Linked DNA regions of Yarrowia lipolytica. The protein of the gene in region 1 interacts with the protein of each later gene in a pairwise test. Links are inferred from orthologs where the notes say so. Each region holds a gene or a part of one and is shown in the gene's direction. Other genes may lie near its edges.

Region 1 (2,747 bases):
TGACGGACTCGCACTGGGCAACGGCAGACAGACCTCGCTCCTGGACTCGCTCAGCGTAGATGGTGACGGATCCCTCGGGGAGTCGGAATCGCTTCTGGACCAGAGACATGAGCTCTCGGATTCGTCGGCCGTTCTCACCAAGGACCTTGTTGGTGTGGGTGGCTCGGACAACAATCTCAGTCTTGGTGGGGGTGAGTCGGACCTCGACGCCGGAGTATCCCTCCTCGGCGAGCTCTCGGGTGAAGAACTCGTTGAGCTCGGCGTAGAAAACACCGTCGGCGACGATCTTTCGCTTCTTGGAAATGGTGACAGTGGAGGACATTGCTGTTGTGTGTGTGGATGGATTCGCGCAGAATGGGATATTTTGCCTGCTGGGAGGTGAGTCGTGAAAATTCTGAACCTTGTTTTGCCAGTTAGGGCTAAACCCTGTCACGTGTTGAGTCTTTATTGGGAGGTTTGGACGCTTATGTAATGTGCGATTTAGAGATGTGCGGTAATGGTGAGCTTGTGTTTGGCTGTATTGGGAAATTTTGGTTGTTTTTGGGCTGTATTGATCCAGAAAGTGCTCAAAAATAATAATAAAATAAATAAATAAATAAAAACCGTCAGGTTTGTATGGTAAAATGGGTATTCGAGATCTAAGACAAGGTAAGTAAAGTAAAGTAAAATTGTAAGGAAAGTCACCCTAGTCTAAATTGTGCGATCTTACAAAAATATAAATATAATAAAAATAAAATAAAAATAAAAATAAAAAAAAAAAAAAAAAAATAAAAACGAAAACACATAAAAAAACAATATTAAAAACCCCTCAGGTGGAGCGGAGCTACCAGTACAGGTACTCGCATTCTCACTCGCACTCTCTCACTCGATCATTACCAAATAGCCTCCGCCAACTGCATCGTCTGTGTATTACAATTCACGGGAATTAGTTGGGAGTTTTGTTGAAAATGAGGAAGAAAGGGGGACTTTGTAGGGCGCTGGAAGACGCTGGAGGACGCTAGAGGACGCTAGAGGACGCTAGAAATGATTAAATTAGACACAAATCACCAATATAACCATTCTATTGCCTTTATCGTCCACCATCACCATGACACCCACATGACGCCGTTTGCAACTCCCCTTGAGGCCGTGTGCAACTCTCCGAAGATAGGAACAACTCGCGACAACTCGCATCAACTCGCATCAAGACGGCCCCGGGATGATGGCAAAAGTAAGCCCAAAACTCGGTTACGTAATCAAGTATAGCCCCACAAGCGCCGTTAGCAAAAAAATTAACCTCCCCCAACCCCCAGACACAGATCTAACCCCAGAATGTTGTTGAGTTGTCCAGCCCTGCCATAAGTTGGGAGGGACCTGAGACAGGCCTGAGACAGTTGTGAAAACGAGTGATATTGAAGGGGCCCCGAATGGAGGCTAAAAATCGCAAAAAATCACGAAAAAATGACCGAAAAAATGACCCGCTTAGGTAATTTGAGGTCTGGATTTTTATAGCCCTTTGTCCCACCATTCTCATTTCCCATATTCCGGTGTCCCAGTTCACCCCCCCCCCCCATTACCCCCCCCCTCTAATCTTCCTGTCATAAGGTTCAGTCAAGTTTAACAAACGCTGACACCATCACTACAGACGTGTTTGCACCTCTGACCAGACACATTTATCGCCACCATGCCGACATCTGCATCCTCCATTTCGTCCGCGCTGATTCTGTGCGCCACGTCCTTCTCTCTGGGCGTTCTGTACTCCAACTGGCCCTATGATTTCTTCACTCTGTGGACGGCCGCTCCGCCGGAGTCTCGATACACCGCCTCTCTGGACCACTACAAGGCGTGGTACGACTGCCCCATGTTTGTGTACCACATCCACCACACGGTGATCGGACTGGGGCTGATTGGCTTCTTCATCAAGCTGTACAAGCCCAGCGAGTCCAACAAGCTGTTTGACGGCGGCTCGCTGTTTCTGTACATGGTTGGCGTCACCATCTACCTGACCAACATCCGACGGGGCCTGGCGTCGGCCGTGGACGGCAACTGGGGCGACGTGGACGAACACACGGGAATCAACGTCATTGCCGCCTCCCAGGTCATGATTGTCTTTGTGCTTCTCGGCGTGCTGGGGCTCCAGGTGGGCCAGTGGTGGGCCGAGCGAGAGGACGCCAAGCTCAAAAAGAAGTTTGACGACGAGGAAAAGAAGGAAAAGAAGGACAAGAAGGAGTCCAAGGAGTCCAAGAAGACCAAGTAGGCCTACCGGTAGTGGATAGTACAGGGCTCTGTGCGTAAAAGTGAGGTATGTACGTGAACGTGTTGTGTATTAGGACTGTGTCCGTAGTTGAATACAAGAGTAGGTAGTACCAGTACAGCGCCGTCGTACGGATCTCGTTGTATTGTCTTTCACGCTGGTATGGCTGTAGTTGTTCTGCAAGTGTTCATACTGCGATCTAGTTCATCGTTGGAGCACATCTCCCGGTTGTCGATACTTCAACCACTACTGCTACAAGAGAGCTATCTACAACCCAGCTTGTCCTGACTGACTGCTTCAACTGATTGTACTTGAATTGAACATGTTCCAACTACTTGTGCTCCGTCACTGTGGTATAAGACAAGTTGGAAGACTTGAGCTCAGCCTCTCATAAGAGCCTCCAAGTGGCTCCAGAAACACTTTGATAGAAGGAGACCAGAAGAATCAACTTTTTTGATTAAGAGTTTCACCCATTGTCGCTGGTATCATCCTCTTGGAGTGTTGTACTACATCT
Region 2 (3,523 bases), about 180 kb from region 1:
CACTGTGGGTCTGTCACCTGGTCACACAGGTTTCTGTCTCGTTCGGGACACGTAGGAATGTCTTCGTAGTCGTATAGGATCGTCACGTTGTTCCACAGGTTGACAGACAGTTTGTACCGCTTGTCGTCGCCACCCACACCATGACCTTTGGACCAGCCGATCATGAGATCCAAGTACAACTGTCCTCCACTGACTTTGGCTGAGTCCTCGTCACTAACCAGTCGTTTGCGCAGGTGGATTGCGTCATCGGGCAAGTATTTGTCGATCCTCTTGCCTCGTATCGATCCATCAGCGTACTGAATGTGAAACTGGTCCTGGAAGTCCGCACTCATAAAGTCATAGACATCATCCCATGAGTAGGGCATGAGCTCCTGTTCTGTGGGTCCATGGGACACTGGAAAAGCTCTCTGGGTAGCTCCAAGCGTCCCCAGGCACGCGAGTAGTGTGCTGGAGAGTTTCATTGCTCCTGCCGTGTGCACAAGTAGCTGTGTTGTTTTGTTCTGTCTTAAGTCCGTCGAGCGAGCGACGTCTGGACCTTTCCGTACATACCCATAGCACTATTGTGACATCTTCAAAGTTTATCTATATTAGTATGCGAGTACCGGTGCAATAGTGGAGCTAAAGGGTCTAATCAACATTGTTTTGGGCGTGGCGTGGCTTGTTTGGTTGCTCCGTATCGCACCATGAACGAGCATATACATCTATGGCCCACCCTACGACATTTTGGAACTCTTGTCACCCCAACTCCTCTCAACTCCTCACTCGGTTCAATGCATGGCATTGCATACAAACTTTGGCGGAGAAATATTTATAGCTAGGGTTTTTCGAGCCTAGGGTTGACGTTGAGAGTAACATCGACGTGTTCGTGATGCTGCGAGTTGGTTACGATTAGTCGTATGATATTGGGCCTACTTCACCTGTCCCGTGTGTCGTATTTCGTATTTACACCATGTTGTACGTTGGGCCGTCTTATTACGTCAGCAGGGAAATGGATGCTGGTTGATAGGCACGTGTGGAGGCAAGTACAAGTTGTACCGGTACTCGTACAGTAAATTATGTGTTGGGGTTAGGGTATATCGCGCTTAGTCAGTTTCGACAGCATGTGGTGGTTCTGAGGTCCTGTGGACCGCGTCTATCGGTGTGCTTGTACTTGTGTTTGCACTTGTATTTATTATGGTCCACTTGTATGGTCGTGTGGCATTGCTGTGGTTGCTGCCGAGGTGCGTCTCTTACAATGCCTATTTTGACTGTGTATGTATGGGGAAAGGTGGTTGAAAGATGAGTGTGTAAAGTGGGTTTCAAAACAGTAAGAGTACAAATACTTGAATGTGAACATACTCACTAGTTGTGACCCGGTAGAGACCACTTATACGACCGCTACACTATCTATGTCACGACGCCATCATCTGCTCGCCCAGAAGGACATAATTATAACAGTGCCTACTTGTAATCCTCTCCCAATCAAACCCCTTTAACGACACGCTTAATTACAGTATTTGTCCCACCTGGCTCACTTCAACAGCAACGAACTCTAAAGGCGCTGGTCCACCGGTGTGTGTGGTTGTGGTTCAGTTCTCTACCACGGCCACTAAAATTATACCCCCAACAGAGACATAGGAGCGCGGAAAACAAGTGTAGCGGCAACACAGAGCAGAGGTACCCAATCGACACCCATTCCGATCACGTGACTTCCACCAACCCGCTGATAAATCTAATCGCACCCCCTCACGACACGCGTAACGCACGTGATACATCTCAACCCCCTTGACACCAAAACACACATATGGGCCAGTACCAACAGCTGGACTCGCCGGCTGGGCGCGATGACGGCATGCTGCGCCGGACCACCAGCGAAGACTCGCAACGGCGGCACAATGGACACGGCGGCAACAACGACAGTGACTCCGATCTCGACGCTCTACTGGAAGACGATCCCATTGGAGACGACTTTCACCAGATGGAGATGATGAGCGACTCCGAGAACAAAGAGTCCGCCGTCATCAAGAAAAACAAGTGGATCAAACACGCCCTCAAATGCACAGCCTACCTGCTTTGCTGGTACACGTTTTCTCTCTCCCTGACGTTATACAACAAGTGGATGTTTGATCCAACAAAGCTGGACTTTCGGTTCCCGCTGTTCGCCACAGGTATCCACCAACTGGTACAAACTGCGTTTGCTACTGCAGTCATTACAGCGTTCCCCCGACGCTTCAACCCCCGTGTGATGGCAACAGAGAAGGGAGAGGTCTACGTGCCTCTGACGTGGCGGGAGTACATATACAAGATGGGCCCCTGTGGTCTGGCCACGGGAGGAGACATTGGAATGGGCAACATCTCGCTAAAATATATCACCGTGTCCTTCTACACCATGGTCAAATCGTCGTCTCTGGGCTGGGTCATGATCTTTGGTTTCATGTTCCGAATCGAAAAGCCCAACGTCAAGCTCATCAGCGTGGTAATGGTGCTGATGATCGGTGTGGTCATGATGGTTGCCGGAGAGACTAAGTTCCATCTGATCGGCTTCCTGCTTGTCTTAGGAGCAGCAGTTCTGTCAGGTCTCAGATGGGCTCTGACTCAGCTGCTTCTTACACGATGCCCTGCGACTACAAACCCCTTTTCCACGATTCAGAACGTGGCTCCCATGATGGCTCTGTGTCTGTTCGTGTTTGCTCTGATTGTGGAGGGTCCTGTGACGTTCGTCACATCCCATTTCTGGGCCGACCAGGGCCTTCTTTGGGGGATTTTCCTCATGGTCATCCCGGGACTTTTTGCATTTTTCCTTACTGTGGCCGAGTACGCGCTGCTGCAGGAGACCTCTGTCATCACACTCTCTATTGGAGGCATCTTCAAGGAGATTCTCACGATTGTGGCCAGTGCACTGATCTACGACGACACCATGTCTGTGGTCAACACTATTGGCCTGGTGATCTCGCTGCTGGCCATCATTGCTTATAACTGGTACCGATGGCAGACATTTGAGGAGTGAAGAGGGAGCACGAGCAACGGACTAACTGAGCATACGACATAAAAATAGACTGTAATGACATTTAGAGATGATGGAAAGAAGGGCACGGATTATATGGCTACTGTCACAGATGGAACTACAACAAGTATACAGTCTCAAATTAGGACACCCGAGATGCATTCTTCCGATAGTGTCAAGTTTCAGGCGTCGAGGACGTTGGCGTCGCAATTGGCCCGTCGTAGTGTCATTGCTTGCCACCATTTGAACATTCTAAGAACCAAAAAGGGTTCCATAACTGAACTACAGTATGTATTTCTACCACATGTAGCTAGACAGACATTAGCCTGGTCAAGATCCACGGAAGAGAAGCCCAGACCAGCTAAACAGTAGATCAAGATAGATGTAGGACGAAAGCAAATTAAAAACAAATTGGAATGCTGACTTGGCACTCTGCAGGTACAATAGCTACTTGTAGCTACTTGTAGTGACAGGAGTTCGGCTTCTTGTTCGGAACAGTCTCTTCACCAGTGTTCCTTCTACCACATCAGACGAATAGCC
Region 3 (3,171 bases), on another chromosome or scaffold:
AATGACGCGTGAACGGATCGACCGATTCGAAAACCGATTTGGCAGAGTCAACTATTATGTGCCCAGAAAAGGGTATCGTGTCGTGGTGCTCAATAATCTGGCTCTAGACGGTCCCGTTTACGAACAGCAGTTCCAAAACGATTGCTGGATGTTTGTGGATATGGTGAGACAGGCTCGAGAACAGGAGCCCGACGTGTCGACCATTCTCATGACCCACGTGCCTCTTTACAAGCCGGCAGGCATTTGTGCCGACGGACCCATGTTTAAGTACTATGATAACGAGTACAAGTGGCTGCGGTCTCAGAACCATCTTTCTGAGGATGCTACCAACCGACTTCTTGACGGTATCTTCGGCAGGGAAGATCCTCGAGGCGTTATCTTGGCTGGCCACGATCACGAGGGTTGTGTTTCCAGTTACAGCTTTGATCCTGGACACGGAAACTGGACAGTTGAGGGTGGAAGAGGCAATGCCGTGTCAGAATATACCGTTCGAAGCATGATGGGCGAGTTTGGCGGCAACACAGGCCTGCTGACAGGCAGCTGGAACGATACAGAGGGCAAGTACGACTTTGACTACTCTCTGTGTCCCTTTGTCGTCCAGCATCTATGGTGGGCCACCAAGGTAGTGACCATTATTGCAACTATTGTTGCCTTACCAGTGGCTGTTTCGATCCACTACAGTTAGGGCTGTAATTCGTCTGATGCAGTCATTTTGGGCATGTTGAACAGCGCATGAGACAGCACGAGACGGCATGAGACGGCATGAGTCGGCACGAGTCCTTCAGTCCCGTTCAGCCCATGAACAGCTAATTATATCCCTGAACAAGGGTTTGCATTGTATACTTAAGTCTTTATTACTGATATTGAGAGTGGGCATTTGTATTGCATCTACGTACTTAACTCACTGCAGACAACTTTTCCGTTTCACGGTATCAGACAGGGAATCTCGACAGGACACTGTGGGAACTGAACTGATTTTATATTTCTACAATGGTGGTACTGTACGGCATCCTAGGATCCTTTCATGTGTTTTTCTAAGTCTTTTTTCAATTTTTTCAATTTTTTCAATTTTTTCAATTTTTTTTCTTCACTTTCTGCAATTTCAGGTGAATTTACTGCCACCATGCACACCCTGCAGTCCCATAAAAAGAAGCGAGCCAGCCATACTGATAAGAGCCAGAAAATCACGAGCAAATATTTTTATTTTTTCATTATTTTTTCGGGAAAAACGGCGCAAAATCCATAAACAAAACAGGAACCCCCATCTGCCCGAATCCAACTAACGCCGAGTACACACAGCCACGTGACGTGACTTCATATTACATACAGGTAGACAGAACTAAACAACCAAACAACCCGAATTTACACTACTGTACATACGTGCAATACGAGTGGTAGACCGAAGGTCTGGGGTGAGGAGACCAAGATGGAAAGTTATTTTATAACATGTCCAAATATCTGCGAAAATTTCACCTCCAAGAAACGATTCTGGCCGCAATTTTTCCGGATTTCCCCGGATTTCCCCGGATTTTCCCGAATTTCCGCGCCCAATTTCTCAATTTTTTATTTTTTTATTTTTTTAATTTCATTTTATATTTAATGTTTATTTTTTATTCCGCCCAAATCTATGCTGCTGGAACCTTCCATATTGTTATGGCTCCGATAACGTGTGCCGTTCGACCCAGTTTGGCGGTGGTGAAATTTCCCACGGCAAACTTTATTACTTGCAACGTATTGTAAAACCCCCATAACCCCAAACCCACGATCTTCCTTGTCGTCATACGCCACCACTAAAAAAAACCCACACAGCCAACGCTCCCCCCAAAAAACCGCAAAAATGGTCAACCCTGCTATTTCCAACCTCGTCATCATGCTTGTCATGATGCAGGTGTCCAAGAAGGTGCCCTTTGAGGACCCCCAGGTGCTGATGGGCATCCGAATTCTCTACGTGGTGGCCCAGTTGCTGGTCCTGGGCCTGTACCTTTACACCCGGTCCATCATTACCAAGAAGAATGGTGAGTATGAGAGTAGAACCGACGGTGGTCGTGTTCCGTGACCCGAAGGACGCTACTACGTGGTTTGGTCAACAGATCAGCGCCACTGTCCATAGAGAGAGTTCACAGACAGGGCACATATGTCACAGCATATGTCACAGCTAATGTCCATGTCATCTTTTTCACTGCTGTGATCTGCGCAAGTTACACCCAGCCTTCACCGTCTTTCAGTACTAACCCAGATCTCACCACCCTCAAATACGTCGAGCCTGCCAACGCTTTCGGCGGCCAGGAGGAGCCCAAGCTCGTGACCACCACCATCAAGGAGTACGATATCAAGCAGGTTAACTCTGCCATCCGAGGTGTCTTCACCGGTATCGCCATGATGGGTTTCATGCACATCTACATGAAGTACACTAACCCTCTTCTGTTGCAGTCCATCATGCCCATCAAGTCCGCCATTGAGCAGAACATTGTCCAGATCCACGTCTTTGGCAAGCCCGCCATTGGCGATCTCAAGCGACCCTTCAAGGCCGCCTCCATGTTTGGTGGAGCCGGTATGGGCGGTGGCGACATCAAGACCGACAAGAAGACCATTTCTGCCGCCGAGACTGCCGGTGCCGGAGGTGTTAAGGAGGAGTAAGCGTTATGAATAGTAATAGATTGTATACTGCACAAGCTTGGTGATTCTGAGCCTGGGCCATAGTCATAGGACTGCCTCAGATCTACACAATTGTAGACTAAATCCTTGAATAAATAATGAAATAAATTATGTCAATTGGGATAAAACAACGATATCTCTCATCCCAGTGGGTCTATGGCAGCAGTACAGATGACGAGAGGGCCGATGGTTGCCTAGCCTTACCCATGGCTTGAGTCAGCGGATATGGCGCTCGTTCAGTGATCAATGTACTTGTAGCAGATCGGGGTAAGTAGCAGTTAGCTCGTGTCGGATGCGTTGAAGAGTTGGAGCTGGGTACTCTATCACAAGAGTGTACATACGGTATTGTACTCCAGTTTCTGTAGTTCACCCAAGATGAGTAGTCAGCAGTAGGCTTAGCAGTCGTATCCGTATGCCAGGAGTCGCATGCTTCCAAGCAAGTTTCCTATTATGTCTTGTAGACACGCGTCAGCTCCAGCTAATGCTGTCAAAACGGATAGCGCAATTGTATGGTCT

What was found.
Region 2: the proteins of YALI1_E28046g (region 1) and YALI1_E29827g interact in a protein complementation assay, tested with the Saccharomyces cerevisiae proteins (2 studies listed by BioGRID). The link is inferred for Yarrowia lipolytica from reciprocal best matches to the Saccharomyces cerevisiae genes SHR3 and YMD8.
Region 3: the proteins of YALI1_E28046g (region 1) and YALI1_B05995g interact in binary tests that used the Saccharomyces cerevisiae proteins (3 or more experiments, as listed by UniProt). The link is inferred for Yarrowia lipolytica from reciprocal best matches to the Saccharomyces cerevisiae genes SHR3 and SND3.

What each region holds. Positions count from the first base shown.
Region 1 is NC_090774.1:2,802,969-2,805,715, forward strand, and holds YALI1_E28046g (uncharacterized protein), read left to right. Parts: upstream 1-1,663; coding exon 1,664-2,236; downstream 2,237-2,747. Other genes in the region: YALI1_E28033g (40S ribosomal protein uS3), read right to left, coding at 1-322; YALI1_E28052g (uncharacterized protein), read left to right, coding at 2,284-2,335, 2,613-2,747.
Region 2 is NC_090774.1:2,980,974-2,984,496, reverse strand, and holds YALI1_E29827g (uncharacterized protein), read left to right. Parts: upstream 1-1,783; coding exon 1,784-2,986; downstream 2,987-3,523. Other genes in the region: YALI1_E29840g (uncharacterized protein), read right to left, coding at 1-461.
Region 3 is NC_090771.1:597,723-600,893, forward strand, and holds YALI1_B05995g (uncharacterized protein), read left to right. Parts: upstream 1-1,837; coding exon 1,838-2,015; intron 2,016-2,236; coding exon 2,237-2,637; downstream 2,638-3,171. Other genes in the region: YALI1_B05971g (uncharacterized protein), read left to right, coding at 1-685; YALI1_B05984g (uncharacterized protein), read left to right, coding at 753-1,283. UniProt on the Saccharomyces cerevisiae protein: Functions in the SND pathway, a SRP (signal recognition particle) and GET (guided entry of tail-anchored proteins) independent pathway for targeting a broad range of substrate proteins to the endoplasmic reticulum.